Linked DNA regions of Elephas maximus indicus. The protein of the gene in region 1 interacts with the protein of each later gene in a pairwise test. Links are inferred from orthologs where the notes say so. Each region holds a gene or a part of one and is shown in the gene's direction. Other genes may lie near its edges. The genes, in order: CERT1, RTN3, ACTL8 and CSNK1G2.

Evidence for each region.
Region 2: the proteins of CERT1 (region 1) and RTN3 interact in binary tests that used the Homo sapiens proteins (3 or more experiments, as listed by UniProt). The link is inferred for Elephas maximus indicus from reciprocal best matches to the Homo sapiens genes CERT1 and RTN3.
Region 3: the proteins of CERT1 (region 1) and ACTL8 interact in binary tests that used the Homo sapiens proteins (3 or more experiments, as listed by UniProt). The two-hybrid records come from large-scale screens. The link is inferred for Elephas maximus indicus from reciprocal best matches to the Homo sapiens genes CERT1 and ACTL8.
Region 4: the proteins of CERT1 (region 1) and CSNK1G2 interact in binary tests that used the Homo sapiens proteins (3 or more experiments, as listed by UniProt). The two-hybrid records come from large-scale screens. The link is inferred for Elephas maximus indicus from reciprocal best matches to the Homo sapiens genes CERT1 and CSNK1G2.

Annotation. Positions count from the first base shown.
Region 1 is NC_064820.1:80,067,219-80,075,124, reverse strand, and holds the start of CERT1 (ceramide transfer protein), read left to right. Parts: upstream 1-4,607; coding exon 4,608-4,693; intron 4,694-4,922; coding exon 4,923-5,334; intron 5,335-7,906. UniProt on the Homo sapiens protein: Shelters ceramides and diacylglycerol lipids inside its START domain and mediates the intracellular trafficking of ceramides and diacylglycerol lipids in a non-vesicular manner.
Region 2 is NC_064825.1:126,879,805-126,887,484, forward strand, and holds the start of RTN3 (reticulon-3), read left to right. Parts: upstream 1-4,528; 5' UTR 4,529-4,694; coding exon 4,695-4,836; intron 4,837-7,680. UniProt on the Homo sapiens protein: May be involved in membrane trafficking in the early secretory pathway. Inhibits BACE1 activity and amyloid precursor protein processing. May induce caspase-8 cascade and apoptosis.
Region 3 is NC_064821.1:57,104,430-57,112,639, forward strand, and holds the start of ACTL8 (actin-like protein 8), read left to right. Parts: upstream 1-4,996; coding exon 4,997-5,344; intron 5,345-7,807; coding exon 7,808-8,210.
Region 4 is NC_064821.1:1,699,539-1,707,153, forward strand, and holds the start of CSNK1G2 (casein kinase I), read left to right. Parts: upstream 1-4,288; 5' UTR 4,289-4,492; intron 4,493-7,615. UniProt on the Homo sapiens protein: Serine/threonine-protein kinase. Casein kinases are operationally defined by their preferential utilization of acidic proteins such as caseins as substrates. It can phosphorylate a large number of proteins. Participates in Wnt signaling.

The DNA of each region.
Region 1 (7,906 bases):
TTTAGCCTTAGTGGTTGGTGCATAAATTTGAATAGCAGTTGTATTAATTGGTCTTCCTTGTAGATATATGGATATTATCCTGTCACTGACAGCGCTCTACTTCAGGATAGATCTTGAAATGTTCTTTATGATGATGAATGTAATGCCATTCCTCTTCAATTTGTCATTCCCAGTGTTAGGGACTGAATTGTATCCCCCAAAATATCTGTCAACTTGGCTAGGTCATGAGTCTCAGTATTGTATGACTGATTGTCATCTGATGTGATTTTCCTGTGTGTTGTAAATCCTATCCCTATGATGTAATGATATGGACTAGCGGCAGTTATACTGGTGAGATCTACAAGATTAGATAGTGTCTTAAGCCAATCTCTTCTGAGATATAAAAGAGAGAAACAAGAAGAGAGACAGGAGGACCTCATACCACCAAGAAAGCAGCGCCAGGAGCAGAGCACTTCCTTTGGACCTGAGGTTCCTGTGCTTAGGTATTCCCAGGCCAAGGGAAGACTGATGACAAGGGCCTTAATCCACAGCCAACAGAGACAGAAAGCCTTCCCTTGAAGCTGGAGCCCTGAATTCGTACTTCTAGCCTACCGGTTTGTGAGAGAATAAACTTCTCTTTGTTAAAGCCATCCACTTGTGGTATTTCTGTTATAGCAGCCCTAGATGACCAAGACACCCAGCATAGCAGACCATAAGTTTTTCTGATTCAAAATGGCCAATACCAGTCCATTTGAGCTCTCTGGTATACTGACCTACAGAATACATTATTTATTCATACAATTCTTCCCACTTTTGCAGGTATTCTGAAACAGAGAAAAGGGCATGATCTTTTAAATCAGAGAGAGAGACCTAGGTTCAAATCCTAACTCTGCCACTTAGCTGTATGATATTTGGCAAGTGTATCCTCTCTAAGCTTCAGTTATCCTTAAAATGGGAATAATGTTCACTTTACATAATTTCTAAGAAATAAGTTGGATAAAAATAAGTCAGATAAAGGTAAAGTATCTGAATAGTACCAAGACTTAACATTGTAAAGATGTCATTTCTTCACAAATTAAGTGTATTCTCAATCCAAATCTCCATAAAATTTTTTCATGCAGTTTGACAAGCTGTTCTAAAATTCTAAATTTCAAAATTCTAAAATAAAACCAAAAACCAAACCTGTTGCCATTGAGTCAATTCTGACTCATTGTGACCCTATACCCACAAAACCCACTGCCGTCAAGCCAATTCCTACTAACAACAATGACCCTGTAGGACAGAGTAAAACTGTCCCCAGAGTTTCCAAGGCTGTAATTTTTATGGAAGCAGATTGCCACACCTTCCCTCAAGCTGCTGGTGGGTTCAAACGACCAACCTTTCAGTTAGCAGCTAAGTGCTTAACCACTGCTCCACCAGAGCTTCTCTCGTATTAGCATGTTGTTGTTGTGCACCGTGAGTTGATTCCAACTAATAGTGACCCTACAAGACAGTGCAGAACTGCTCCATAGGGTTTCTGAGGAGCTGCTGGTAGATTCCAACTGCCGACCTTTTGGTTAGCAGCCTGAGCTCTTAAGCACTTTGGCACCAGAGCTCCATAGATATACACAAATACATTAATGAAAAAGAATGGAGTCCAGAAACAGACTTAAGGGGTATATGGGGTTTTGTATATCATAAAGGTAGAAAGGTATGTATACACTATACAAGCAAGTATTGGGTCAAGTGGTCGACCATCTCTAATAAAAAACTAAATTCCTACCTCATTCCGTATACACACACACACACACCTCAGATGGATTCAAGTTCTAAAAAAAATTACTAAAAGAAAATATACACCATTTATAAGTGGGTTGCAAAAGGCCCTACCAAAAAACCAAACCAAACCCACTGCCATCTAGTCGATTCCAACTCACAGCGACCCTATACAACAGAGTACAACTAACTGCCCCATAGAGTTTCCAAGGAGCACCTGGCAGATTTGAACTGCCGACCTCTTGGTTAGCAGCCGTAGCACTTAACCACTACGCCACCAGGGTTTCCAAAAGGCCCTAAGTAAGAGAAAACTCAGAAGCTATCACTCCCACCAGAGAATAAAGAAAGTTCATATATTTTATTTTTGTATTGCAGTTTCTCCCCATGAACAGTAATGAAGTGAATCTCAACCTTTAATGTTGCACTCTAATCACTATGCAAACATCTTTTCTGCACTTAAATCAAAAAAATTTTTTTATAAGTATAAAGGAACAATGTGGCCAGAACCTATTTAAAAAGACAATTTCCCTCATATTAATTCATATACAATGAAGCAATTTCCTGAGTGAAGGAGCACCTTAATTGATTTAAGTGCTGGTGGTTTACAACCACATACGATTAACCTAAAAATGCATAAAATGCCATCTTATAGAAGCTCAATTTAAAAACTGTAAGAATGGCTTGGGGGCAGTATCTGATTTCCTCCAACCACACAAAGAGTAAGGGAAACCAAGAGCAACAGCCCAAGGCTGATTCCTATACGGTGGAGATCAGATCCACCTCTTCTCTCTGCCCTCTCCACCAATTCTAATACCAACTGTCCCTCCCACGGCACTCTCTCTACTGGGTTTCATAATTCTTTGCAATAGCCACACAGAACTCACAGACCACACTCACAATTATGGGGTACATTAGGGAAGTAACAGTTATAATTCAGGCTCAAGAACACTCAGGATACAGTTCTTCCATCAGGATAGCCTCTCCTCAGCTGTGCTCACAGGCATGTCTCTCCCAGGTCCTCAGTCTCTGCCCAAAGGCACTCAGCTTTCTGTCTCTGTGGGCTAGGAAGCCCACCATGCCATCTCCTGCTGCTGGATCTATGCTTCTGGGTCTCTTCTGCTGGACTTGCCTTCCTTGGTCATGGTAGGCTCCTCCTCTCTGCTCTGGAACTGGCTCTCTTTTAAGGCAAAACTGACCAATCCTCTTGGCTTAGGCTATCACACAGTCCTGCCCAATTACCTGGGTGGGAGTTACAAGACCATGGCTAGAAAGGCCACACAAAAATAATCAATCCGTAATCAATTGCACTGTAAAAACAAATTCACACTATGCTTTCATGATTTTAAACTGTATTATAAAGTGGATTTCTCAATAATTCATAATCATTTACTAAAGTTCAATGACATTTTAAAACCTAGAGCTTGAAAGAATCAGAAATACAAAGTCTATATTACGTAATTGGAAGGCAAAGTAAAATTTACAGTATTCAACACTTTTGGCCTTCATTTGTAATCCATTAAGGAAGAAAAGTGTGCTAAATGGCTTTTTTTTGGAGGGGGATGATAACTTCGGGATTATGTTTTACTATGTTGACAACGGATTTTTAAAAGCTTTCTCTTAAGGTTATTCATCCCAATGGCTTTCAGTTATACATTATCAATTGATTTCACATAATGGGAAAACTATTTGTAAATGGTTACAGCAGATCCAGCATCTATAAGTGGAATGGAAGATATCAAAGGTACTTCTCTGAGACACTTCCCATCATTCCTTTTTTTTCTTCCAGATGTCATTTTCCTCTGCCTCACCACATCCCCACCAGTTATTTCAGGCCACAGTGCCTTTTCCCCAGACTCAAAATTTCACTCCTATTCCTCCCGTCCCTGCAGTAATCAGGTAGGTATTTTTTTTTAAAGTTTAGTAAGGAATTTTATTGTTCGCAACAATCAGGAAATTGACAAGATGGAAAAGTAGTAAAGGCAATAACTGAGGCTAAAAATGCAAAGGTTTCACAAGTTATCTTTATATTCAAAAGGACTAGACAGGATCTGTTAGATTTGCTATGGGTGTTTCCACTAATTCTAGTCTTGAGACAAAACCAGTCTCCCATTGCCTAAGCCACTTATTCAAGAAGACAACTGTACTTTGGTCTTATACGGAAAAACTTTCTATTTCAATCATTCCTACTTTCCAGGGAACGCCAAATCGGCAGCGATGGTTAAACTGTGTCTCAGGAAGACAGTAATTTACAATTCAGAACACTTCAGATTACTATCTCACATTCTCAAAAATTCTTCTAACGTGACGCATTCTCTGACAACCTCAAACTTTCTAAAAACACTAGAGAGCTAACAAAATGCTTAGTGCTGCTCTCGTGATAAGGGGCTGAGGACATTCTTCAAAAGCGGAAAAGGTGAAGCGTTAAGTCTGACATCTGAAGAGAGAGAGAGAAAACCTTCCAAATTTGCAGTGGTGGCCTGGCGGAAAGAAAACATCCTTTGTCACTACAGAGATAGCAAACCCTCGTCCCGTGGACAGCTAAGGTGCGAGCGTCCGGTACATCCCGCCCAGGCAAGAGGCAAGATGCTACCGGCTTTCGGAAAGCAGTCACACGCTGCAGGCCCAGAAACCTCAGTGGCGAAATCTCACATCCGGGCTCGCAACCCCGGCGCGTTCGTCACAAACACACTAGGTAGAAATAGAAGAGAGGCCGAAAGGACGGGTCACACAGCTTTGGTACGCGAAGCCCACCCACTGCTTGACCGTCCCCAGGACGACGAGCCCCACTCCCGCGAAACACTCACCGGCTGCCTCAAGCTCACGACTACAACTCCCAGGAGGCTGCGCGGCTAAGGAGCAGAGTCCCTCCCAGCATGCAGCACGGCAGCGCCCCTGTCCCTCCCTCTTTTTTCTCCACCCCACCTACTTTTCTACCCGTCGTCGCTCGGGAGAGCCATAGGTAAGGTGTGGGAGGTGGACCTTACGCCCTCGGCGTGCAGCGTCAGACTTTGGGAGGGGGACAGGGAGGGGAGCGGAGAGAGAATGGGAGGACGAAGGGGAGGGGAAAAGGGAGGGGAGGGTAAATAGTGGGCCAGGCAGGAAAATGGCGACCGTAGCAGAGGTGTGAGTGGATCCGGGTCTCCGTAGCTGGCTTTTTCTCTTCCTCCCTCTTTCCTTCCCTGTTTAAGACTGGCATCCAGGGGATCGAGTTCAGGTGGCGGCACCGGGCGCAACGCAGGGGTCACGGCGACGGCGGCGACGGCTGACGGCTGGAAGAGCAGGCTTCCTTCGCCGCTCGTCCTCCTTCCCCGGTCCGCTCGGTGTCAGGCGCGGCGGCGGCGGCGACGCGGCGGGCGGACTTCGTCCTTACTCCTGCTCCCCCCCGCGTCCGAGCGGGCACTCTTCCCTTCGCCATCCCCGGACCCTTCACCCCGGGGACTGGGTGCCTCCCCCGACGCACCTCAGGGAGCGGAGGCCAGTCTCTTGGTTGGCTGTCGCGCCTCCATGTCGGATAACCAGAGCTGGAACTCGTCGGGCTCAGAGGAGGATCCGGAGACGGAGTCCGGGCCGCCTGTGGAGCGCTGCGGGGTCCTTAGCAAGGTGAGCAACCCGCGGGGCCGGGAGACCGCAGCCCGGACTCACTTGCTGCGAGGCAAGCCGCTGAGGGCTTGGGGTGCGGCTGGCCCGGCGGCACGGACCGTCCCGGGGCGGGGGCTGCGGAATGTGTCGGTGTGGGGGGCTGAGTCCTGCCGCAGGAGTGCCCGCGGCAGGGGTGTGGTGGGGGCTGCGAGAGACTGTCCTTCCTGGCTATCTAGAGGCTCAGCGGCGAACTGGGGGACCCGTGTGCAAGCCAGAGCTCCAATTTGGGAGGCGGGATGCGCAACATGACTTGGAACCTAGGGCGGCAGCTGCCCCGGGTGGAGGAATCCGAGTTGGACAACGGTGACGTTAGAACAGCTCGGCACGGGGGCGGTGTAATTAGGACTCCCCCGAACGAGTTTAGTCTGGAGATGCTGAGCAGAGTCGGGTTGGGGGCTCTGCGGACGCGGCTGTGTAGGCAGATGCCGGAGTAACTCGGCTTAGTGCTGAAATCTGAGGTGGTAGGCAAGATACGCCCCGTTAGATGTAAAAGATATGAATGAGGAGGACTTCTATACTGTTCTTCCCTAGCCCGGTACCCTTGTCCTGGAAAAAAAAAGGAAAGCACTGTTTAATTGACACGGGATAGTACCAAAAAAAAAAAAAAAATTATAATGGAGACCGACCTTTGGCCCAGGAAGAAGAGAATTATTAATAAAATATTCTTGTAGGCAGGGTTCCGGGGTAAGGAAGACACTCTTAACTTTGCTGTATTTTTTTTAATCGCCTTTTCAAAATTTTAGAAAAGTAGATAATCATTTGTAGGACTATAAGGCTATTAATGAGTTAAAATGGATGAGGCCCTTTTTAAGAGAGAAAGTGTGTGATTTTTTGATAGTACTTTTTTTTTTTTAAGTGTTTGCTATGGGAAGATTCACGTAGCCTTTTCTACTTCCTTCTTCCTTCCTGTTAAACTTCTAGAAATGACTGGAGCTTGCAGTTAACTTGCAGAGAAGGGGAGCTGGGGCCAGTGCCTTAACAATCTGATCATATGGTACTAGGTCATGTGCAGCCACTGACTATTAAGAAATCCCTCTGCTTCCAGTATTCATACTTGGCTAAGCATTCGGACCTCATTTATGGAATGTTTCATATTAGGCTATTAGAATGTCTTTAGAAGGCTGGTGAGAAAGGGCCTCGGAAAGGAATGTAAGAGCAAAATCTTGCAAGTGTTAACTTATTTGTCCAGCAGAAAATTATGCTGTGTGTTGGTACTGTGATCATTCTTGAAATTCAAGTGAAAGGTTTTCAGTAAAGTGAAGCTCCCCAGGGTTTCTTTAGATTAAACATATCTTGTAACTAAGGAATCTGTATTGAACACAGTGCATAATAGGTACCTGTATACATTTTCAGGTGGGAGTAGTTATGAAATGGGTTCTTTGCTTCTAAATGGTTCTGGCCATTTCATCACTTTTTCTCATTATGTGAGAAACACACTGCCGTATTAGTGCTGTGCTGGTGTTAAGTATTTTACAAAACAAGTTGTACTTTTGATCTACTGATTGTCACTTTTTTGCTCTTGAATATTCACTGTATATAGTATACATTATAAAAAAAAAAAAAAAGACTGTCTCTTTGATATTTAAATGCATAGAAATGTAGTATTTGACCTCTTCTCTGGTGCAGTGGGTTATGGTGCAGTGGTTAAGATGTCAGCTCCTAACCAGAAGGTTGGCAGTTTGAATCCACCAGCTGCTCTTTGGAAACTTATGGGGCAGTTCTACTCTGTCCTTTGCAGTCACTATGAGTCAGAATCCACTCGACCGCAAAAAGTTTGGTTTTTGGTTTTTATGGAAAGTGAATAGCTTCAGTTTTTACTGTTGCTCCATATATGGAATTAATAAGAATATATGTTTCAATGCAATTGTCGTAAACAGCTATGAAGGAAAATTTCCTGAAATTTAACAACTTATGGTTATATATAATGTTTTTTGGAAGCTTTTTGATGAAGGGTATTTTATCTTAATTATATATGCTGATTATGGCACATGTTTTTAAATTCAAATGTACTTATATATTTTGACAGGAGCCGTGGTGGTGCAGTGGTTAAACATTTGACTGCTAACCAAAAGGTCAGTAGTTCGAATCCACCAGCTGCTCCTTGGAAACCCTGTGGAACAGTTCTACTCTGTCCAATAGGGTGGCTGTGAGTTGGAATCAACTCAACGGCAAAGATTTTATATATTTAGAGCCCTTTGTATTCACCTGGTAATTTAAACAAGAGTTAGAACTCATATCGGTTTTTTTTAAAAAATATTGTGTTTTAGGTGAAAGTCGACAAAGCAAGTTAGGTTCCCATTTAACAATTTTTATGCAAATCGTTCAGTGACATTGGTTACAGTTTTCACAATGTGTGAGCACTCTTATTATTTCAATTCAGTTTGTTTTGTTTCCATTGATCTGGCTTCCCTTCTCCTCTTTGGCTTCTCATCTTTGCTTTTGGGTAATTGTTGACCGTTTGGTCTCATATAGTTAATTGTTTACTCACAGGTGATGTTGTTATTTTTTTTAAGCCAATCTATTATTTGGCTGA
Region 2 (7,680 bases), on another chromosome or scaffold:
GAAATGTGTTTGTTGTTGTTGCTTTTATGTCCTCAAATATCCAGGGTCATCAAAACAGGGAATGTTCAGAATGCTAAATATTGATAATACTGGTTACAGCCTTTCTGCCTTCAGCCATTTCACTTTGAGTTGAGCCTTCTTCGTGGTTCAGAAGTAAGCGACATGAAGACATGTCGGGAGCGGTAAGGGCCACACACTTTAGAGTCAGGCTGACCTGGCTTTGAATTCCAGCTCTAATGCTCACCAGCTGTGCAACCCTGGGTGAGTTATTTGTCCTCTCTGAGTCTGTTTCCTCATCTGCAAAATACTTCAAATACCCACATCACAGAGCTGTAGGTTAAATGAGATGCATTTGGTAATAATGACTGGTACTTAGTGCTCAAAAATTGGAACACATTATATTCATTCTGGAAAAGCAAAACCAAGTCATAACAAAGATACTCAAGTATTTTAGGAAGCGTAAAAACAAAATTGTTTTTGCAATAAGCATTCACTATGACTCAGATTCCAAAGCTTTCCAAAAACGCCTTATTTAGGTGCCAAGTACTGCGCTAGGCGTTAATGCTGCAACAACAAGCCAAGCACCATGCTAGGCATTAATGCTGCAACAACAAGCCAAGCACCATGCTAGGCATTAATGCTGCAACAATGCGTAAGACACATTCCTGTCCTTCAGGAACTCACAGTCTGCTGGGGTAAACAGCCAAGTAAATAGTTATCACCTGCCGTGATGATCACTTGCCGTGACATTTTTCAGCCTTCTCCCCTATCATCTACTTGCAATAATGGTATTTAAGCAACAGTCTGGGCACTAGGAAGGGACAGGCTTAAATACTGACATCCCTGGGCATCAGTTAAACATCTGTGCCTTTACGTTGTTCATATGTAAAGTGGAGTCACAAGATGGCCTAGAAGCTGAGGTGGGAAATAATTGTGTAAATGCCAGTCCTAAAAGGGGCAAAAGGAGCCCTCTCGGCAGAACAGTTAAGCACTTCGTTGCTACTCAAAAGGTCGGTGGTTCAAACCAGTAGTTGCAGGGGAGAAAGACCTGGTGACCTGGTCCCATAAAGATTATAGCCTAGGAAACCCAAGGGGCAGTTCTGCTCTGCCATATGAAGTCAGTATCAGTCGAAATCAACTCAACAGCACCTAACGACAACAACGTAGGGGCCAGAGAAGTGGTTATGCTCCAGTGAACACTCTAAAAATCCCATCTGACTCTATAGAAGAATCCTGATCAAAAGGGGGGAAATGCAGAACAGAATTTCAAATTCTCATGGACTCCAGACTTCCTGGAGCCATTGAGGCTGGATAAATCCCTGAAACTACTGCCCAGTGTATAAAACTTAAATCAAAAATATCCTCTGAAGTCTTCTTAAAACCAAACAATAAAAAAATAGGTTAGCTTAATTAGTAAAGAATGTCTTCCTTAAGTTTTTAAGCTCTTTTAAGAACTATCTATATGGGATCAAAGTGACAACAACAACTAAAAAATTAGATTGGAGCCTTAGGGGGCAGTGGGCTAAATGTGGGAGGAACAACTCAGAAAAGGAGGGTAAGAATGGTTGTGGAACCTGAAGAATGTAATCAATGACACTGAATCGTACATGTAGAAATGGTGGAATTGGCATATGTTTTGCTGTGTATAGTCTCAATAACAACAACAAAATAAATTAAAAAAAAAAAAATTCCATCTGAGCCCTTCCTGCCCCAAAACTTTCAAATTCTCGATTCCTTAGTGTAATATCAACGCTTCTCCACAGTCTGGTTCCAACTTTTCTTCCGCGTTTTATCTCCCTCTTGTCCCAATTCAAGACCTCGGCTCCAGCCAACTTGCTCTAACCATGCCCCAAACACCCTATACACAGTCACACTTCTGAGCTTTTGGCCAGCACAGCAGTGTGTGTACTGCACTGAGGCAGCCCCAGGAGGGGAGGGGCAAGAGAAGATGAAATCTAGGCCATGTTCTGCTAGACAAGCCAGCATGGAACTGCATGGCTAAGATGATTTTTTTTTTTCCTAATTCATCTGCCCAGAGGGGTGCCATTTTGTATACTTGCACAAAAGCAATCCCTGCATTTGCTTCACACCATCCTCTCCTGCCTCTAATGGCCTCCTTACCACTCCAGACTCCTGTCCATATTTTAAGGTTGAACGTCTTCATAAAACCTTCTCGAGCCGCTATAACTCCATGGTAATCCCTCCCCTATTTCAAATTCATACTACTTATTTGCGGCCCAATTTCATAGCACTATGGTTTTTTATTGCTTGGGGTTGTTTTTGGTTTTATTTAATTTGTATTATTTAGCTTTATGTGAGTATATTCTAAGCCCCAAGAAGCTTGAAGCTCGTTGAAGACACAGCAACATATTATATTTGTAGATCCCTCCAACGTGCCCATGATAGTGTTATACACAGAGCATATGACCAGTAAACATCAGTGAAATTAATCATGAATACAAATATGTAAACATGCCAAGCAGGAATCAGTCTCAGGGAGGTTGAGAGGTACAGCAAGAAAGAGCAGGAAGGAAAGACAGCTTCAGCAGTTGGGCCTAGCACAAAGGCCTCCGTTGTAAAAAAAATCCCTGAAACGTCTGAAGAGACCACCAAGAGCACATCAATGTCTTGATTTTCAGCTTCTTTTCTCTGCATCTCAGGAGCCTTGGTGACACAGTGGTTAAGCTGCTCGGCTGCTAACCAAAAGGTTGTGAGTTTGAATCCAGCAGCTGCTGCCAGAGAGAAAGATGTGGCAGTCCGCTTCCATAAACATTATGTGGCCTTGGAAACCCTATGGGGCAGTTCAACTTACACGGTTGCTAAGAGTCAGAATCCACTCAATGGCAATGATTTTTTTTTTTTTTTTTTTTTCCCCTCTGCTTCTAGATGCCATGGAAATGAGCTTCTTTGTCAGCCCAGGGTTTTCCAGATTCTAGCAATTGTGATGGCTAGGGACCAGCATCATTCATTTCCTTATCCAGCACCTAATGACATGAGTTTTTTATTCATTATCAGTGCGGGTATACAACCAGCTTGGTTATCACCTAATGACATGAGTTTTTTATTCATTATCAGTGCGGGTATACAACCAGCTTGGTTATCAGATCAGCTTGTATGTCCCTTTGCCATCTAAGGGGCACTTTGCTGCTGCATTATCAACTGATGCTGTAAGTGTCAGGGTAAGATATTTACTGCAAAGTTATTTTGGGAAATATTCTTCTGTGCTTTTTTCAGAGCATTGCAACTGCTAGGAGTTTTTTTTTTTTTTTTCCTGTCTGGGTTTTACCTGACCTTAAAAACTGTCAAGGACAGATGGAGTCCACTGCCTGTTCTAGAAGATTTCTACCCTTTGGATTGCCCTCTGTGGCCGCCTGGCTGACTACCTCCTGCTGCATGAGGTTGCATCTTTACAGGATCTGCTGATCCTGCAATTGCCCTTCAGGTCATTGATTGCTGCTTTAGCAATAACAAAGCCTATGGCCTTGATTTTTATTATTTCCAGGATACGTTCTCCTTTTTAAATGGATTATGCACCTGGCAAATATCTTGACCAGATGTAGGCTTTGAATTTGGCAAGCCAACCCAGGAGAAACAAGAAAATGAACAAAATTCAGTATAAGCTGGATGTCTGGTTTCAAATATATTTTCTACTAAGTACTCCTTTAATAAAAAAAACTCTATTATGTGAATTTTGTGTTATATTCTCAATTTTTAATACGTTATCATCCCCCATAACCACAGCCAGGATGTTCTTATTTCCTGGCTCTTTTTTTCCTCACCAGACCAGCTTCTTTTCCTTCAAAATATGTCTTCTCTGTCCGAAGGCCTATTCAGAGGCAAGGTCAAGCTTAAGACCCAAAGTGGACCCCTCTTTGGAAAGAGCAACGAGATAAGAATAAGAAGTAGGTTTGGCGGCTGCATTGCAATGTGATTGGAATGAGTAATGGTTTTTCACTCTGCTCAGCATCTTCCTCCACCTACCAAATGGGGGACTGTGCCTTCTCTGCCGCATGGTGATGACACATTACGACACGTCTAGATAAATTCATAAAGCACTTTTAAAGTGGGCCTGCTCAACACTATGGTTTTCAGTTTTCATAGTCTCAGGTGGGAATGCATCGGACACAAGACATCGGCTCTGTAATTTATGGGAAAGATACTTCCCATCTAATGGAAGCAAAAAGAAACGTCTCTCGCTAAAAACACAAACTACCGACCCTAAAAAAAAAAAAAAGTTTACATAAATAAATATGAGGAAACACCTCCCGCTTCGGCCGCAGGGGCGGGCGGAGCTCGGAGCACGGCCACGCCCCTTGCTCTGGCCCTCCCGGGGGGCGCGCCCCACCCCGGCCGCTCAGGCCGGGCGCTAAGGGAGGCCAGCTTTGCCCCGCCTTTCCTGCAGAGCGCGGAGGGACAGTTCTTGCGCCTGCGCTCTGAGCCGCTTGGCTTCTCCGCGAGGCTCCCGCCCGCCCCCGCCGTGCGCTCGAGGGCCCTTTGTGCGCCTGCGCGCTCTCCCTCCCTCCCTCCTCTCTCGCGCTCGCCTGGGCTCAGTCGGTCAGTCAGTCGGAGTCTGTCCTCGGAGCAGGAAGGCTGAGGGGACTTCGGAGCGCCAGCTGCCCGATTAGTTTATTTCCCTTCCCTCTCTCCCGCCCCACATCTCTCCTCACCCGTCTCCCGCCCTTGCTCGCGCAGCCATGGCGGAGCCGTCGGCGGCCACTCAATCTCCGTCCGTCTCCTCGTCGTCCTCCGGGGCCGAGCCCTCCGCGCCCGGCGGCGGCGGGAGCCCGGGAGCCTGCCCCGCCCTGGGGGCGAAGACCTGCGGCTCCTCCTGTGCGGGTGAGGAGAGCCGGGGAGCCCCTGCCCTCGGGAGGGAGGGTGCTCGGGGCCGGGGGCTCAGTCGGGGGGCGCAGTGGGGTGAGGGGACCGGCAAACTACCCTCGGCTGCTGAGGGATTCGGCCCCCGGGAATGAGCGTTTGGAAAATGGGCAAAGGGGGAGGGGAGCCTAAGGTCGTGCAAGCGATGAGGAAATAACGGGGTGTGGGGAAAACAGGTTGGGGGTGGGGAGGTAGCCTAGAGAGTAGGCGTTAACACCAAGATCTGTCTGGTGGGGGAAAAACACCAGTTCGGGGGAGGGTGGGATTAGATGGACTATTGCTGCAAACATATGACGAGCCAGGTTCGGGGCGACGAAAGCGCAGTCGTCTGAATGGGGTTGATTTAGTGGAGGATTAGAGAGACTGAGGCTATAAAGAGGATCGGGACAGGTTGGTGATAGGAGCAATAATTAGGATTTTGAGGGGATGGAGGTGGAAAGGTTGCAGTGCAGATTTGCAGACAGGTGTTGTCATAATCAGACATGGTAGTCTTCAGTGTTTTTTGTGTTTTTTTTTGCCCGTGGGGAGAATGAGGAAGTTAAACCTGTTTCTTTACTGTTTTTTGTGCCTTTAATTTTTGGTGGCATGCCCGATTTAAAGAGGCGTGATGAGAATAGCTCGGGGAAGATTTGGGAGGGAACAGCTGGTGGGCCAAGATGGATCCGTGGCTGCCTCTGCAGCACAGCCCACTCTTCCCTGGCGCGGCGTGGGGGTGGGCGTATGCAATCAGTCGCATATATTCTAGAAGGTAATAAATAAGGAGCAATGAGAAGCCATCAAATGTGTTTGGGTTTTGTATTTTTTTTTTTTTTTGTGGGCTATTATCAATCGCATTGTAACAAAAGGGGGCGTTTGCTGCAGAAAGGGGGGCGGGGGGAGAAATTCAGACAAAGCAGGAGCTGGTTGAAGCCCCTTCTCCTCCCATCTCTGTGAAAGACGAGAAGCGAAGCTGCAGGCCGCCTTTAGTTTCCATTGTATACGCGTCTGCCTGCTGGTGGGAGCTGGCTGGCAGGCTCCCCTCATGCAGAGATCTGCAGTGCAGATGCCGTCTTGAGGGGAAGAAAATGCACCATGAGCAGGCAGGTGGTGGTTCTTAAAGGAATTGAGTCTTTGAATTAAAAAATAAAATAAAATGCTTTTTGTTAAAGGAAGGGCCATAAGCTAGATAATTTTGCTCTCTAGTTATGTTAAAGGATTTGAGATATTTTAAAATGGTTCTTTGTCTCCTTTGCCAGAATCTTGGGTTGATCGTTCTAAAGAAATAAGATTTCTGATCTTAGCTTTAAATATATTCTCCCCGTGCTGATAGTAGATTTCCACCTGTTTAAGAGCTTTGGTGCCTGGTCGGATTTTCCAGTGTGGTTATGGTCATTTCATTGGAAACAGACCGTATCAGAGGACGCTTTTGCAGGTCAGGATTCGCCCTCAACGGAATGAGGCAGCAAATTTGGAACCCTCGTTTCCTTCACACCACCAGCGTTTCTCCAAATTTTTGTGTTCTGGGCAAAGATCCAAATGAACAGCAGCTTCTTTCTTATTTAGCGACTTGGTGTTTTGGCTTTAATTACTTGTCTCTGCTTACTGTTTGGTCCTTTGGTGCAAACCTTTTGATTTTTCTGTATTTGATTCAGACCTGAGTTTTTGGGATTGCCCTTTAGTGCTCAAGATAAGACCAGTGTTAAATGTTGAGGGTCATTCTTATTAGCAGGCATTAAAATTTAGTCCTAACATTTGCAGCCAAATGGTGAAATCATTTGAAAATTGGCTTCTTTTTTTTCCCTTAATGCTCTGTAATGGAAGAATTGGCTTCTTTAATAGTCCAGTGAAATGAAAATATTTTGTTCACAGACACGCACATGTACACCCCACCAAGCAAACCCTGAATTGGAAATACATATTTAATATGTAATCTCTTTGGTTTGTGTTTCTGATACCATTTATCCTTGTCACAATTTTTATTTATTCTTGGCTTTACCTTCCCCCCCGCCCCCCGCCCCGCCACTGTATGATGGTGGAAAGAATGCTGAAATTATGTGTTTTACAGAAAGTAGTGGAATTTATATTTTAAAGTGTTGTCCCAAGTACACACATTAAAAGTACATAGGTTTTCATTACATTTTCCCAGTACTATTAAATGCCTCAATGTTTATCCATTATTTCTTAGTAAAGTTTTATTACAGAATTTTTATTTATCAGATTAGTCATAGGCACTTTGTCACCTTTGGACCTTGACAAGTATTTGTTGAATGACCATCAAACCTATGAGCTAGAAAGTAACACCTGAAAAATGAACTAGGTAGACACTCTGCCTTAAACTCTTACCAGTGTGTATGTAAGTATTGGTGAGCCCAATGCAAGATCCTCATTTGTCAGATCCCTACTGGAATATAAACGTTTACCTTAAGATACCGCAATGTATAGTCATTTCATTGCAGAAGCTCTTCCTCCTTGCAAAATGGTTCCTCTGCCTCTCATGGAAAATGTCTCAGGCTTCAGTATCATGAAAATAAGATGACGTCTGTTATTCCAGAATTTAACCTATGAAAATGAATGCTAAAAAATCTACCAAGTGTTGCCGTCAGCCTTCAGCCTCATGTGCTTTCACCAAGCTCCTGTTGGTTTTAGAGCCTTTTAAAACATAAAAGCAGAAGAGTAAGTAGTTGCTTGGTGTCCTACAGGAAACAATTTGTGTCTTGACCAACCTGTGCAGCAATGAATTTTAGAAATACTAGTTGATACATAAAGAGTGCTTGCACTCCCTGTTGCAATGTCTCTGGTACTAGTGCTGGCAGCAGCAAAGTAAGC
Region 3 (8,210 bases), on another chromosome or scaffold:
ACTCGTAGGTTATTTCTCTTGATAGAATCCCACGTAATTCTTAGGGTTTCTTCATTTTTTTTGAAATTCTTTTTATCTGATTTTTCTTTGAATATATTGGTGCCAAGTGTTTTATCTTCAGTCTGATTAATTCTGCCTTCCACTTCCTTAATTCTTCTCCTCTGACTTTCGATTGAGTTGTCTAATCCTGTAATTTTATTGTTAAATCTTCAGAATTTCTGATTGCTGTCTCTATGGATTCTTGCAGCTTGTTAAATTTTTCATGATGTTCTTGAATAACCTTTTTAATTTTTTCAACTGCTTTATCTGTGTGTTCCTTGGCTTGTTCTGCGTTTTGCCTGATCTTGTTCCTGATGTCTTGACGGGTTCTGTATTAGTCGTTTGTATTCTCCATCTGGTAATTCCAGGAAGACACCTTCATCCAGAGCTTATTGAAGCACTCATGGTCTGCGTCTTTATGTGATTTGATACTGACTGTTGTCTCTGAGCTGTCTATAAGTTATTTATTGGTTTATTTTGTTTGCTTACTATATCCTAGTTTCTTGCCTTGTTTTGTTTTGAGATGCCCAGATAGGCTGCTTGAGTGAGCTAGCTTGATTGTTTTTGCCTTTAAAGCTCTAACGTCCTGTCACCAGATGGCTAGAGCTATTACCAGGTATATGAGCCTAGGAGTCTATTCACTTTTCTTGTATGGATTCAGCTCAGGTGTCCAGGTGGTTGGTCATCAAGTGTGTGGTACAGGCTCTGTCCTACAGCCTCAGAGGGGCAGGGGTGATTGGTGTAGGTGCAGGTATCTGGTTGCAGCAGGGGGTCACGCTCTGAACAAGGCAGGGGACTGACAACTGTCCCCCAAGTATCTATGAGGAAAGCACATCCCTGTTCCCTAGAGTGCACAGGTGGGTGGGTTCTGCAGCCAGACCATGGGCACCCAATGCTTTTGGTTGTAAGGACTGGGAGGTACCACTTATCCTTGGACCCCTGTTGTGGGTGGCTAGGTTATGTGGGTGGAGCCACCAGTCTTTAGGGCCCCGATGTGGTTAGGCGAGGACCCTGTTTAATAGGCAAAGTGGTGTCAAACATCAAGTACCCACCTTTCCACCACATAACTGAAACAGTTGTAGTCTGCCAACAAGGGCCTGTGTTATTGATTCGTGCCAGTAATGCTGGAGTAAGATGGTATTTTTTTGTAGATTTTAGAAATTTGTCTGATTTATAATAGCCAATTTTTTTTCACAGTCTGTAGGTTCTCTTTTTACTCTTTTGGTGAAGTCTTTTGATGAGCCTAAGTGTTTAATTTTTAGAAGATCCTGGTTATTTAGCTTATCCTCTGGAACTTGTGTGTTGTTGGTTGCAGTTTGTATCCCGTTAATGCTGTGTATTAGGGCCTCTAGCATTGATCCTATTTTTTCTTCTATGAACTTCATTATTTTGGGCTTTATATTTAGGTCTTTGATCCATTTTGAGTTAGTTTTTATATATGGTGTGAGGTATGGGTCCTGTTTCATCTTTTTGCAGATGGACATCCAGTTTTGCTGGTACCATTTATTAAAAAGACGGTCTTTTCCCCATCTGATGGACTTTGGGTCCTTGTTGAAGATCAGGTGACCTTAGGTAGATAGATTTACATCTGGGTTCTCAATTTTGTTCCCTTGGTCAATGTATCTGTCCTTGTGCCAGTATCAGGCTATTTGGCTACTGTAGCTTTATACTATGTTCCTGAGGTCAGGTAGTGTGAGTCCTCCTACTTTATTCTTCTTCTTCAATAGTGCTTTACTTATCTGGGGCTTCTTCCCTTTATGTATAAAGTTGATGGTAAGTTTTTCCATCTCTTTAAAGAATGTTGTTGGTATTTGAATTGGGATTGCATTGTATTTGTAAATTGCTTTGGTAGAATTGTCATTTTCACAGTATCGAGTCTACCTATCCATGGTATGTTTTTCCATTTATGTAGATCTCTTTTGGTTTCTTGCAGTAGTGTTTTGTAGTTTTCTTTGTATAGGTCTTTTACATCCCTGGTTAGATTTATTCCCATGTATTTTATTTTTTTAGGGGCTATTATAAATGGTGTTTTTTTTCCTGATTTCATTTTCATCGTTCTCTTTATTGGTGTATAGGAATTCAACTGATTTTCGTATGTTTATCTTGTATCATGCTACTCTGAGGAATCTTTCTATTAGTTCCAGTAGGTTTCTTGTGGAGTCTTTTGAGTTTTCTATGTATAGTATCATATCATCCACAAATAGGGAGAGTTTAACTTCTTTATTACCAATTTGGGTGCCCTTTTTTTCTTTTTATTTCTGTTTCTTGCTTCATTGCTCTAGCTAGGACTTCCAACACAATGTTAAATAGGAGTGGTGATAAAGGGCATCCTTGTGTTGTTCCTGTTCTCAAGAAGAATGTTTCCAGCCTCTGTCCATTAAGAATGATGTTGGCTGTTGGTTTTGCATATATGCCCTTTATTATGTTGAGAGATTTTCCTTCTATACCTATTTTATTGAGAGTTTTTGTCAGAAATGGGTGTTGGACTTCGTTGAATACCTTTTCTGCATGATTGAGAAGATCATGTGATTCTTTTCTTTTTATTTATGTGGTGGATTAGGTTGATTGATTTTCTAATATTGAACCATCCTTGCATACCTGGTATGAATCCTACTTGGTCGTAGCATATTATTTTTTTGATATGCTGCTGAATTCTGTTGGCTAGAATTTTGTTGAGAATTTTTGCGTTTATATTCATGAGAGATATTGGTGTGTAATTTTCTTTTTTTGTGGTGTCTTTGCCTGGTTTTTGTATCAGAGTTATGCTGGCTTTGTAGAATCAACTCGAAAATATCGCTTCCTTTTCTGTGTTCTGAAGTAGTTTGAGCAGTAGTGGTGTAAGCTCTTCTCTGAATGTTTGGTAGAATTTTCCAGTAGCCATGTGGGCCAGGATTTTTTTTGTTGTTGTTGGAAGTTTTTTAAAATTACCTTTTCATTCTCTTCTCTGGTTATAGGTCTGTTCAGATTTTCAACATCATTTTGTGTTAGTTTGGGTAGGTAGTGTTTTTCTAGAAATTTGTCTATTTCCTCTAGGTTTGCACATTTGTTGGAGTATAGTTTTTCATAGTACTCTGTTATGCTCCTTTTTATCTCAGTTGGGTCTGTTGTAATGTCCCCCATTTCATTTCTTATTTGGTTAATTTGCATCCTCTCAGGTTGTTCTTTTGTCAGTTTTGAGCCACCAACTTTTTAGGTTAGTACTCAAGCACAAGCCATTTGCACCACCTTGGGAACCCTGGTGGTGTAGTGGTTAAGAGCTACAGCTGCTAACCAAAAGATCAGCAGTTCAAATCCACCAGGTGCTCCTTGGAAACTCTATGGGACAGTTCTACTGTGTCCTATAGGGTCACTATAAGTTGGAATCGACTCAACGGTAACTGGTTTGGTTTTTTTTTTTTTAGAGACCTATAATTGCATCACCTCTCCCAAATTCCACCATGCCTGTTTGTTATCAATCCCTTTCACCACCTCTGGCTACTGGCAACAATTGATCTGTTTTCTGTTGGTATAATTTTGCTTTTTCTAGAATGTCATATGAATGGGATCATACAGTACGTAGCCTTTTGAGTCTGGTTTCTTTCACTCAGTTTAATGCATTAGAAATTCATCCATGTCGTATGTATTGGCTATTTGTTCGTTTTTATGGATTGAATTGAATTCAATTCAATTGAATGGATGAATTCATTCAATTGAATGGATGTTTACCTATTCATTTTCCATTTGAAGGATATTTGGGTTGTTTCTGGTTTTTTGTGGTTTGGAATAAAGCAAGTATAAATATGCATATAAAAGTTTTTGTGTGGATATAAGTTTTTATTTCTCTTAGGTAAATACCTAGGAGTGGAATTGCTATGTCATGTGATAGATATATGTTTTTATAGTCTCACCAGCAGTGTATGAGGGTTCCAGTCCCTCCATATCTTCTTCAATACTTGGTATGATCAGTCTTTTTAATTTTGGCCATTCTAATAGGTATGTGGTGGTATTTAATTGTGTTTTTAATTTACATTTCCCTAATGACTAATTATGTTAAACATCTTGTCAAGTGCTTATTTGCCATCAATATATTTTCTTTGGTGAAGTGTCTGTTCAAATCTTTTGCCCATTTTAGAACTGGGTTGTTTGTTTTTCTTATTTTTGAGTTTTGAGAGTTCTTTATATACTCTGGATACAAGATCCCCATCTGTAAGATGAGTGTAAAAATGGGACATGCCTCACAGACTTATGTTAAAGATTAAATGTGTCAAAATACTAGTCTGAGTCATAAGAATTTGCTGATTTATAACCATTTTTGACCTATACAAAGGGCAATTTTACATAGTTGAGTATAATATGTAAAATGTTCCTTGTAGTGGTAGGTAGAGGGTATGTACTCTAGAAATAGTAGCTGCAGCTACTATCATCATCATCATTATTATCATTGTTACTGCTTCTGCTGCTGTTACTACTATACTAATATTAGTATTGAAGGCAGTGGCTCCTGAGGCTGTTCTTTCCTGCTCCCCAAGTCCTCTGCTCAGGCAGTCAACTTTCACCAAGTTCTTCCTGTGTGCCAAGCTTCTTGCTAAGTCTGCAAAAACTAATAAGACCCAACCTTTGCTCTTGTGGAGTAGAAATGCCACCTGGTATAATAGGTGCAACAGAGGAAACTTGATGAGAACGAGGACACTGGCAGGCCTTCCCAAGTAAGGCCTGTTAGTTGGGCCTTGTAGGATGATTGGGGGTTTGAGATGGAATAACATGCCAAGCACAGGTTAGAGCTTGTGCAAGGCTTGGAAGGGGGAATAAGCAAGCTTCAGGGAGAGCCTGAGGCTGTGAATGTGGGGCTGGGAAGCAGCCTATGGTGGCCTAGAAAGTGTTCATCAATATCCCCTACCTCATCTTTCCATAGGTGGCCCTAGTTTTCCAGACATTCTCGGGGAGCCACATCCAGAAGACCTCTCCATTTACCTCTGCCATGGGCTCAAGAACCATTATCATTGACCACGGGTCTGGCTTTCTGAAGGCTGGGTTGTCAGGTTGGAATGAACCCCAGATGGTTTTCCCGAGCATTGTGAACTACATACCGTGCCGGGAAAACCCCGGCCCAAGCTACGCCCGGAGACGCGTTAGTCTGGGCATTGACTTCTGCCATCCTGACACCTTCAGCTACCCCATAGAGCGCGGCCGGGTGCTCAACTGGGAGGGCGTGGAGCACATCTGGACATTTGTCTTGGAGAAACACAGGCAGGAACAAGAGGACTTCCCAGTGATGATCACTGAGAGTCCTCTGAGGGAGCCTTCGGACCGACGGAAGACTATGGAGGTAAGACCTTCTCTGGGCTGCCTTCACTGGGACTGGGGAGGAGGCTATACTGGGGAGCATTGTGTCTAGATGTGACAGGTGTTGAGAATTCAGCTTCTTGAAGCATTTGTCCAACAACACTTCCTGGGAATCTAGTATGTGCCTGGAGCCCTGGTGGCGAAGTGGTTAAGAGTTCAGGCTGCTAACCAAAAGGTCAGCAGTCAGAATCCACCAGCCGCTCCTTGGAAACTCTATGGGACAGTTTTACCCTGTTCTGTAGGGTTGCTATGAGTTGGAATTGACTTAATTGCACATAACAACATAACAACAACAGTATGTGTGCCCAGGCCCCTGGGTGGCACAAGTGGTTTGCGATTGGCTACTTTACCTAAAGATTGGTAGTTCCAACCCAACCAGTGCCACAAAAGTAAGGCCTGGCAATCTGCTTCTGTAAAGATTATAACCAAGAAAACCCTATGGAGCAGTTCTACTCTATAGTATACGGGGTTGCCATGAGTTGGAATCGACTTGATGGCAACCAGTTTTTTTTTTTTTTTTAGCATGTGCCCAGCACAGTGCTAGGGAAGAGGGGCTTATAGAGGCTCCTCCTGTGGATGAAGACACAGCAATTAAAATATTCTGTGGATAGGGCGCAAGAGAGGAGATACTGGGTATTCATTCATGGATGCCATAAATGTTCACAGACAAGTGTTCTGGCCCTCACAGAGCTTACATTCTGAGGGAAAACTCAGACCACGAATAAGCTAACAAAACAAATTTCAGATAGTGATCAGTTCTAGAAAAAATATCGAGAGGTAGCTGACTAATGGGGAGTGAAAGAGCGCCTTTGAGAGGTGGTCAAGGAGGGCTTCTCTGAGGAGTTGACTTCAGCCAGTGAAGCTGGAGCCCAGTAAGTGGGAGAGGGGGTGGCAGGAGGCAAGTGGGATGGTGAGGTCAGCAGATGCTTGGGGGAGCGTTTGGGTTTTATTCGAAATCAAGAGTAAGACGGCCTATGGGCCAAATCTGGCCTACCACCTGTTTTTGTAAATAAAGCTTTATTGGACTAGAGCCACACCGATAATTTGCATATTGTCATGACTTCTTTCACACTCCAATAGTGGAGTTGAGTAATTGCAACAGATACTGTATGTCCTGCAAAGGCTAAGAAATTTACAATTGTAGGTTTGCTAGATGACATACAGGATGCCCAGATAGATTTAAATTTCAGATAAACAGCAAGTAATTTTATGGTATAAGTATGTCCCAAATATTATATGGGACATACTTATACTGAGAAAGTATTTGTTGTTTATCTGAAATTCAAATTTAACTGGGCATCCTGTATTTTATTTGCAAAACCTGGCAACAGTATCTGGTCCTTTACAGAAAAAGTTTGCTGAGCCCTATTCTCAGTGAATGGAGGCTCCTGGAGAGTTTCAAGAGAAAGAGTGATATCTGATTTTCTGTTTTAAAAGGATGACCCTGGCTGCTGTTTAAGAAGTGGATGATTGGGGGGGAACAATATTCTGAGAGTGGGAATGGAGGGGATACCCCTTCCATTGAGGGGACAAGATAGGCCTGCTGGGTCCTGAAGAGGTAAGTAAGTGGCCAACGACCACAGACTGGTGGACAGTTATAGTCCTTCTCTACCCAGAGGTTCAGATCCCTGCCAGAGGTGGGGACTGGGTGGGTGGGCGGGGGGCTGTAAATATCCAGAGGATCCCTGGATGGTGCAAATGGTTTGCACTTGACTACTAACCTAAAAAAGCTGGCGATTCAAACCCACCCAATGGCACTGTGGAAGAAAGGCCTGGCAACCTGCTTCTGTAAGGATTACAGCCAAGAAAACCCTATGGAGCAGTTCTCCTCTATAACACATGGCTCACCGCAAGTTGGAATCAATTCAATGGCAAGAGGGGTATAGATCCAGGGGTTGATAGGGCAGGGGGAAAAAGTCAGCCCAGAGATTTTGCCAAACCCTGAATATTGAAATTACAGTTTTACCTTGAAGTTTGGAGAGTTATTATGAAAAAAAAAAAAAAAAAAAACTTCCCCTAAAAGGCAGTGAGTGCATTTCTTTCTTTCTACCCCCACATTTTGGAGGCAGCGGTGAATGTGCAGTGCTTGTTTCTTTTATAATCTCTTCTAAAGGGATGATTCAGGCTGCAAACCTGCCCACTTCCTGGAGTCTGACAGCTCTTCCCCTTTCTCCACCAACACAGTCTGAAGGGCCACCATCAAACAAGCTCTGAGTGCAGATCCAGCTCCATAACTAGCTCTCTAGAGCCTCCTCTTGTCCCCACAGGATGAGCTCCAGAACCCCAGAACCGACATCCTAGGGCCAGCCTGTGAGTCTCCTCGAGTGGAGGTCTATGCGGTTGTCCACTTTGAGAGCTGAGCATGTCGTATAGTCTTGGGGAAATAGAAGACAGTCCAAGCCCTGTGTTCGGGGAAAATGCACTGAATGTATCTCCCTTCTTGCAGATTATGTTTGAGTTGCTGGATGTTCCTTCTGTCCTCCTGGCTGACCAGCTGGAGATGTCACTGTATGCCTCTGGCCTCCTGACTGGCGTAGTGGTTGATTCCGGCTATGGCCTGACCCGTGTAAAATCTTTCCATCTGGGTCGTCCGTTGCCCTCAAGCTGTAAGACGCTGGAGTTTGCCGGCCAAGATCTCTCTGCTTACCTCTTCAAGAGCCTCTTTAAGGAAGACTGCAACCGGCACAACCTGTTTCAGCTAGAGACGGTCGCCACGACCCAGATGGGCAAGTGCTATGTGCCACAGAATTTGGCAGAGGCACTGGACTTTCGTCAGAGCCTGCCCAGTGGCTCCGACGAGAGCAACATCTACCAGCTCCCCGATGGCACACCAGTGGAGCTGACGCCCA
Region 4 (7,615 bases), on another chromosome or scaffold:
AACGGGTAACTCCGGGGCACAGCCCCTACCCTCACCCACCACTCCTGGGAATTTCGTTTCCTGGGAGTTAGCTTCACACCACTTGTTCCTGGAGCGGATTCAGGGTCACATGCATCTTCAGCCCTGGATGTGAGTCACTTGACCCCTGCACTTGACCATGACCGTGAGATGATGACTGATGCCCCCTTGGAGGCCCGAAGTTGGGCGCAGAGCCCCAGCAGGCGGGAAAGCCCTTTGTAATTGGAGTCGTCCTGCGTGCCGTGGCCTCTTGGGCCTGAGGATTTGGCCCAGCTCGTGGACAGCTGTCACCCAGCCTCAGCGTCTCCTCCACAGCTCCCGGCTCTCCGAGAGTGACAACTGATGTGACAGACTTAGTCACAGGCCCTGTGCTGGACCCTGTCCCAGGGCAGAGGGACCTCGGCCTGTGTAGCCACTGGGACTGGGCTGGAGGTGCTGGCCCCCCGCCCCCGAAAGAACACCTGGAGGCAGCACTGCCCGCCAGTTCAGGGTGGCTGTGTTGAAGGTTTGAATCCAGGTGACAGTGGTAGGCAAGTCACTTCACTTCTCCAAACCTCTGCAAAATGGGAAATACACAGGTCAGAGCCCCTTCCTGTGGGGGGAGAGGCCTGGCTCGAGGGAGCACTAAGTCAATTCAATTCAACTCCATTCAACACATGTCAGCTGAGCAGTTCAGGTTTGTGCCTGGATCGGCACTGGACTGTCCTCAGGGTCCCTCCAAAACCAAACCCAAACCCACTGCCTGTCGGTCGTTTGCCGACTTTTTGCTTAGCAGCCGAGCTCAGGGTCCCTCCACGGAAGTTAAACCACTTGCCGTTGGTCAGCCTTGACTCGTGGGTGGCCCGGTGTGTGTCAGAGTAGAACTACCCTCCACAGGGTTTTCAATGGGTTATTGTTTGGAAGTAGAGTGCCAGGCCTTTCTTCTGAGGCACCTGGGTGGATTTGAATCACCGACCTTTTGTTTAGTAGCCCAACACTTACCTATTTGTGCCACCCAGTGTGTCCCCCGTGCAGGTGGAGACAGATGGAAATGTCTCCTTGAAGAATTTGGGAACAGAACAGAAGGGAGTGCTTCCTGTCTGTCTCCTTCCCTGCCTCACAGCTGTTTGGGATTTTTTGGGGGCACCCTGGTGCACAGTGTTTAAGCACTCAGCTGCTAACAGAAAGGTGCGTGGTTCGAATCCACCATCCACTCCGTGGGAGAAAGATGTGGCAGTCTGTCTTCCGTAAAAATTAGAGCCCTGGAAACCCCATGAGGCCGTTCTCCTCTATCCTGTAGGGTTGCTGTGAGTTGGAATCAACTCCACAATAGTAGGTTTGGTTTTTCGTTTGGGATATCGCTTTACTTTCTTGGGGCGAAGCAGCAATGGGGAGACCAGCTCATCGTTTTTTCAACGCTCGTATTATTTTACTGAAAGTTTTGAAGGGGCAGTTTCTCACGCTCACCCTTCTCAAACAGCGTCTCCACAAAGCCAAAAGGAGTGAGGACAAGTGGCCCATGTTTGAAGTGGCGTATAAATGAGGAAGCACCGAAGCCATTTCAATTTTTAGAGAACTCAAGTGATTAGAGGGAAATATGGTCATCTGAGGCAGAAGTTTCCATGCTGGTAATTTTTCATTCAGTAATTCACGGATTCCTACAATATACCCATGGGGGTCTTGTTTGCCCCAATTTACAGACGAAGAGAAGAGAACCAGAGAGGGTAAGTGGCCCTCCCCATGGTCACACAGCATCTGGCTGGCATAACCGCAGGGTTGGCCTCACTTTACCTGTTCTTTCAGCTGCAGGAGCTGCCCCACCTTTTACAATGCAAAATGCACTGGAGGAGATGCCTGCTGTACTCCCGGGGGCTTGAGTGCCTGAAAGCTGACTTCCCTCAACGCCAAGAATGGAAAAGACTAAGAGAGAGGAGAAAAGGAAGTCCGAGCGGACACAACCCTGAGTTCCCAGCACCTGTGAGGTCCGTGGCATTTACTCATTCACTGCCGTCAGGGAAGGGAAGAGGGTACAGTGCCGAAGACCAACATGGCTCAGGCTTCCTCTGCCACATTGCTGCTGAACAAGACCTAGAACCTGCCTCTCCAAGGGCTTGCTGTTGTTGGGTGCCACTGAGTCAATTCTGACTCATAACGACCCCACATTACAAATTAGAGCTTCCCCATAGGGCTTTCTGGACAGTAATCATTATGGGAACAGATCCCCAGGTCTTTCTCCCTTGGAGCTGCTGGGTCGGTTCAAACCACTGACATTTCTATTTGCAGCTGAGGGCTGAACTGTTGTGTGACCAGGGTTCCTTTGCACGGGCTTAGTTTGTCCCTAAAATGTGTCAGCCTTCACATTCCAGTTTAATTCTACCCCCCCGAGCCCCGCCTTTTTTTGGCAGCCCTATCCAGCTACAGTACGGCAGCACTATAAGGAAAGTCCGAGATACTTTCCTATCTTCTCCCATCCAGCTTTCAGCTCTTAGGGGTCACCCTGCCCAACCATCCAGCCCAAGGAGTGACCTACCCTCAGCCACCCTGTCATGCTCCACCCCATAACACTGTCTGAAATCATTTTGTCCATTGTCCTGTTCCCCCAGCCCCCCAGGACTGAGAACTCTCTGGGAGATGGTGCCAAGAGACTAGCTTACTGTTCTATTCTTAAAGACATTGGCAGGCACTTAATAAATATTTGAATTGCTATGATTCCTCCAGCTTTAAAGACCGGGAGGCCATGAGCGTTTCTGCCCTTCCGCTCCCAGGCCCTGTCCTGGTAGAGCAGAGCCTCATGTGTGGGGCCTTGGCCAGTCACCCCCTCCCCAGGGTCCCTCCTCAGTCACGGAGCGAGTCTAACGATGTATGAGCAAGTACTTTGAGAAGCACAGTTATGGAGCGTCCATTGTGGGCCAGGTCCTGTACTTGGCACCAGAGACCCAGCAGACCACTGACCGGGTGCCTCGGGTGCTGCATCTCGAACATGGCACCCTGCAGGGGCCGATGTCGCTCCCTGTGCCAGGACCCTCTCCTTGGTCTTGCGTATGTCACGATCCTGACAAGCCCACCAGCACCGTATTTTAGAATCATCTCCCCCTCCTGGGTCATGAAACCCAAAAACCAGCGGCCGTGGAGTGGACCTCAACTCGTGGTGACCCTATGTGTGCAGACTACGACTGTGTTCCACAGGGTTTTCAGTGGCTGATTTTTTTCAGAAGATCACCAGAAGATTCTTGTGAGGCACCTCTGGGTGGACTTGAACCTCCATCCTTCCAGTTAGCGTTCACTGTTTGCACCACCCGAAATAAAAAAAACCAGTTACCCTTGGGTCAGCCCCGACTCACGGGATCCCATGTGTGCAGAACTGTGCTCCCTGAGGTTTTCAATAAAGGCGCCCCGGTTACCCAATGGTTAAACACTCGGCTGCCGACGGAAACCTTGGCTTTGAACCCACCCAACAGCTCCCATAGACTACAGCCTAGAAAACCCCACGGGGCACTTCTACTCTGTCACATGGGGTCGCTATGAGTTGGCATCGACGTGATGGCCCCCAACGGCACTCAACACCAGGGTTGTCCAGGGCTGATTTTCAGGCGTAGATCGTCAGGTCTTCATTCCGAGGCGCCTCCGGGTAGACTCGAACCCCCAACCTTTTGGTCGGCAGCCTGGCCATGATACTCAGGTGAAAAATTTCTCTTGGCCGTAAGCCACGGCACTGCATTGGACCACGGCGTTCCGCAGCCTGTCGTTGCAACGTTGATGGAGGCCCCACTGCTTCCCACTCGGGGTCCCCAGCCTCCCTCGGGCGCCCACGGAGCCGCGCCACGCACAATCCCGCCCCGTGGTGACGTCAGGTGGCGAGACCATGACGCCACACATGCGGCGGCTGGGCGGTGGCGCAAGGGCGACCGGCCACGCGTCGCCATAGCAACGGCGGGGCGGGGCCAGGCGGGCACCGGAAGCCCCGCCCCTCGAGCGTAAGAGCCGTTTGGCTCCTTCCGCGATCGCGCGCCTCCTGGGGCCCCGCGGGCAGGGGCTCTGCGGCCCCGGAGCGGCCATAAAGCGCGGCAGCTGTCGCGCGGAGCCGCCCGATGCCGCAAAGCGGGCGGCGGGCCGACGCGCTGCACCGCCGCCTGGCGCGGCCCCACCCCGCGCTGTGACGTTACGGCCCCGCGCGCGCCCAGCCCGGCGCACGGCGGCTGCGCTGTGCGCGCGTCGCGGCCGCCGCCCCCAGGCCGACGCTGGCGGCGTAAGGCGCGCGGGCCCTCGGCGGCGGCGCTCGAGACGCGGTGCGGAGCCGGGCGGCGGGGACGCGGCCCCCGCCCCGAACATGCGGAGGCCGGCCGAGGCGGCGGCGGCACGGGAGCGGGGGCCCGAGCGGGCGCCAGAGCCGGAGCGGGAGCGGGAGCTGGGCCCGGAGCGCAGGGCCGCGGCGCGCTGCTGAGGCGAGTCGGGGCCGCCGAGCGCGGCTGGCCGGGGCCACGGCGGAGGCCGAGAGGTAAGGACGCGCGCTCGCCGCGGACGCGCGCCCGGCCCCGGGACCGAGGGTGGCCACCCCGGCGCCCCACCCCGCGAACCCCACGGTCCAGGCCCTTCCCCCTCCGAGTCCGGGCTTCAGACCCCCGTCCCCTGCTGCGCTCACCCCCGTGGTCCGGACCCTCGCCCCCTGCTCCGTTCACCCCGGTGGTCCAGACCCCCGCCCCCTGCTCCGTTCACCCCCGTGGTCCGGACCCCCGTTCCCTGCTCCGTTCACCCCCGTGGTCCCGACCCCCGCCCCCTGCTCCGTTCACCCCGGTGGTCCGGACCCCCGCCCCCTGCTCCGTTCACCCCCGTGGTCCCGACCCCCGCCCCCTGCTCCGTTCACCCCCGTGGTCCCGACCCCCGTCCCCTGCTCCGTTCACCCCGGTGGTCCGGACCCCCGCCCCCTGCTCCGTTCACCCCCGTGGTCCCGACCCCCGCCCCCTGCTCCGTTCACCCCGGTGGTCCCGACCCCCGCCCCCTGCTCCGTTCACCCCCGTGGTCCCGACCCCCGCCCCCTGCTCCGTTCACCCCGGTGGTCCCGACCCCCGCCCCCTGCTCCGTTCACCCCCGTGGTCCCGACCCCCGCCCCCTGCTCCGTTCACCCCGGTGGTCCAGACCCCCGCCCCCTGCTCCGTTCACCCCCGTGGTCCGGACCCCCGTTCCCTGCTCCGTTCACCCCCGTGGTCCCGACCCCCGCCCCCTGCTCCGTTCACCCCGGTGGTCCGGACCCCCGCCCCCTGCTCCGTTCACCCCCGTGGTCCCGACCCCCGCCCCCTGCTCCGTTCACCCCCGTGGTCCCGACCCCCGTCCCCTGCTCCGTTCACCCCGGTGGTCCGGACCCCCGCCCCCTGCTCCGTTCACCCCCGTGGTCCCGACCCCCGCCCCCTGCTCCGTTCACCCCGGTGGTCCCGACCCCCGCCCCCTGCTCCGTTCACCCCCGTGGTCCCGACCCCCGCCCCCTGCTCCGTTCACCCCGGTGGTCCCGACCCCCGCCCCCTGCTCCGTTCACCCCCGTGGTCCCGACCCCCGCCCCCTGCTCCGTTCACCCCGGTGGTCCCGACCCCCGCCCCCTGCTCCGTTCACCCCCGTGGTCCCGACCCCCGTCCCCTGCTCCGTTCACCCCGGTGGTCCGGACCCCCGTCTCCTGCTCCGTTCACCCCGGTGATCCGGACCCCCGCCCCCTGCTCCGTTCACCCCCGTGGTCCCGACCCCCGCCCCCTGCTCCGTTCACCCCCGTGGTCCCGACCCCCGTCCCCTGCTCCGTTCACCCCGGTGGTCCCGACCCCCGCCCCCTGCTCCGTTCACCCCCGTGGTCCCGACCCCCGCCCCCTGCTCCGTTCACCCCGGTGGTCCCGACCCCCGCCCCCTGCTCCGTTCACCCCCGTGGTCCCGACCCCCGCCCCCTGCTCCGTTCACCCCGGTGGTCCCGACCCCCGCCCCCTGCTCCGTTCACCCCCGTGGTCCCGACCCCCGTCCCCTGCTCCGTTCACCCCGGTGGTCCGGACCCCCGTCTCCTGCTCCGTTCACCCCGGTGATCCGGACCCCCGCCCCCTGCTCCGTTCACCCCCGTGGTCCCGACCCCCGTCCCCTGCTCCGTTCACCCCGGTGGTCCGGACCCCCGTCTCCTGCTCCGTTCACCCCGGTGATCCGGACCCCCGCCCCCTGCTCCGTTCACCCCCGTGGTCCCGACCCCCGTCCCCTGCTCCGTTCACCCCCGTGGTCCGGACCCCCGTCTCCTGCTCCGTTCACCCCCGTGGTCCGGGCCCCCGTCCCCTGCTCCGTTCACCCCCGTGGTCCGGACCCCCGTCTCCTGCTCCGTTCACCCCCGTGGTCCGGGCCCCCGTCCCCTGCTCCGTTCACCCCCGTGGTCCGGACCCCCGTCCCCTGCTCCGTTCACCCCCGTGGTCCGGACCCCCGTCTCCTGCTCCGTTCACCCCCGTGGTCCGGGCCCCCGTCCCCTGCTCCGTTCACCCCCGTGGTCCGGACCCCCGTCTCCTGCTCCGTTCACCCCCGTGGTCCGGACCCCCGTCCCGTGTCCCCTGCTGCGTTCACCCCGGTGGTCCAGATCCCCGCCCCCTAGTTCAGACCCCAGCTCCCCAGTCCACACACCCGTGCCTTGCTTAGTCCTATCTCCTGAATCGCTACTCCAGACCCGCCGCCCTCAGTGAGCCTTACCGACCCCCATAGTTCAGGCTCCCTGTCCACCACCTTCATGGACGGCCCACTCCAGCCCTGTCCCCACTGACGCTCCCACTCCAGGTCCAGCCGCCCCCACTGGTCCTGCCACTGCAAACATTGTCGTCCCCCCCCCCCCGCTCCCCGTCCTGCTGCCCACCTCTGACCCTCATACTCCAGACCGATGTTTCCACTGACCCCCCCAGTCCAGGTCCAGCCGGCTCTACTGTCCACTTGGTGTGGCATCACGTCCCCCCTCCACTCCCTCTGATACTGAAGCCCACCCCCCTCCCCGTCCACCTGGCCCCACCTGGTCCCTTCCCCCTCCGACAGCCCTGCCTGCCGCACACGGCGCACTCTCGCCCCTCTTGGGCCCTGGGACTCTTGAGGACGGGGCGAGGGCGACTTGGGGTGGGGACGGGGTCCCGCGAGCGGGTGGGTCGGGTGGACCTGTTGCGGCGCTGCTCGGGAACTCCCGGCTCTCTGCGGCCGCGCCGCCCCTTCCGTCCTGGCCACCGGCTTTGTTTTCCGGAAACACCGGATCCGGGCGGGCCACTGCGCTGGGCCTGGCGACACGCTCGCTCCTCGCGCGCCCCGAGTTTGCTTTGGGGAGGACGTTCACATTACGGGGCGTGAGCGCGCCCGTTGTTACACCTCTTTCCGGCAGCATTATGTGCAGGAGGGGGTCCCTCCACGGTGCACCCCATCAGTGCAGGCGGTTGGATGGTCATCCCTGGGGCTGCAGCTCTGGGAGGCCTGGATCTCCACCCCCAGGAAAGGCTCAGTGAGGGGTGGGAGTCGATCAGGCCTCAGCCTAGGGGAAATCAAGGGGAAACGCAACGGTGGGGTGGGGGCGCGCGTGCAGGGGTGTGGGGTGGCGGTGGCGCCGGGAAATCCCCAGGGCGGAGGGCGGGGGCACCTGCTG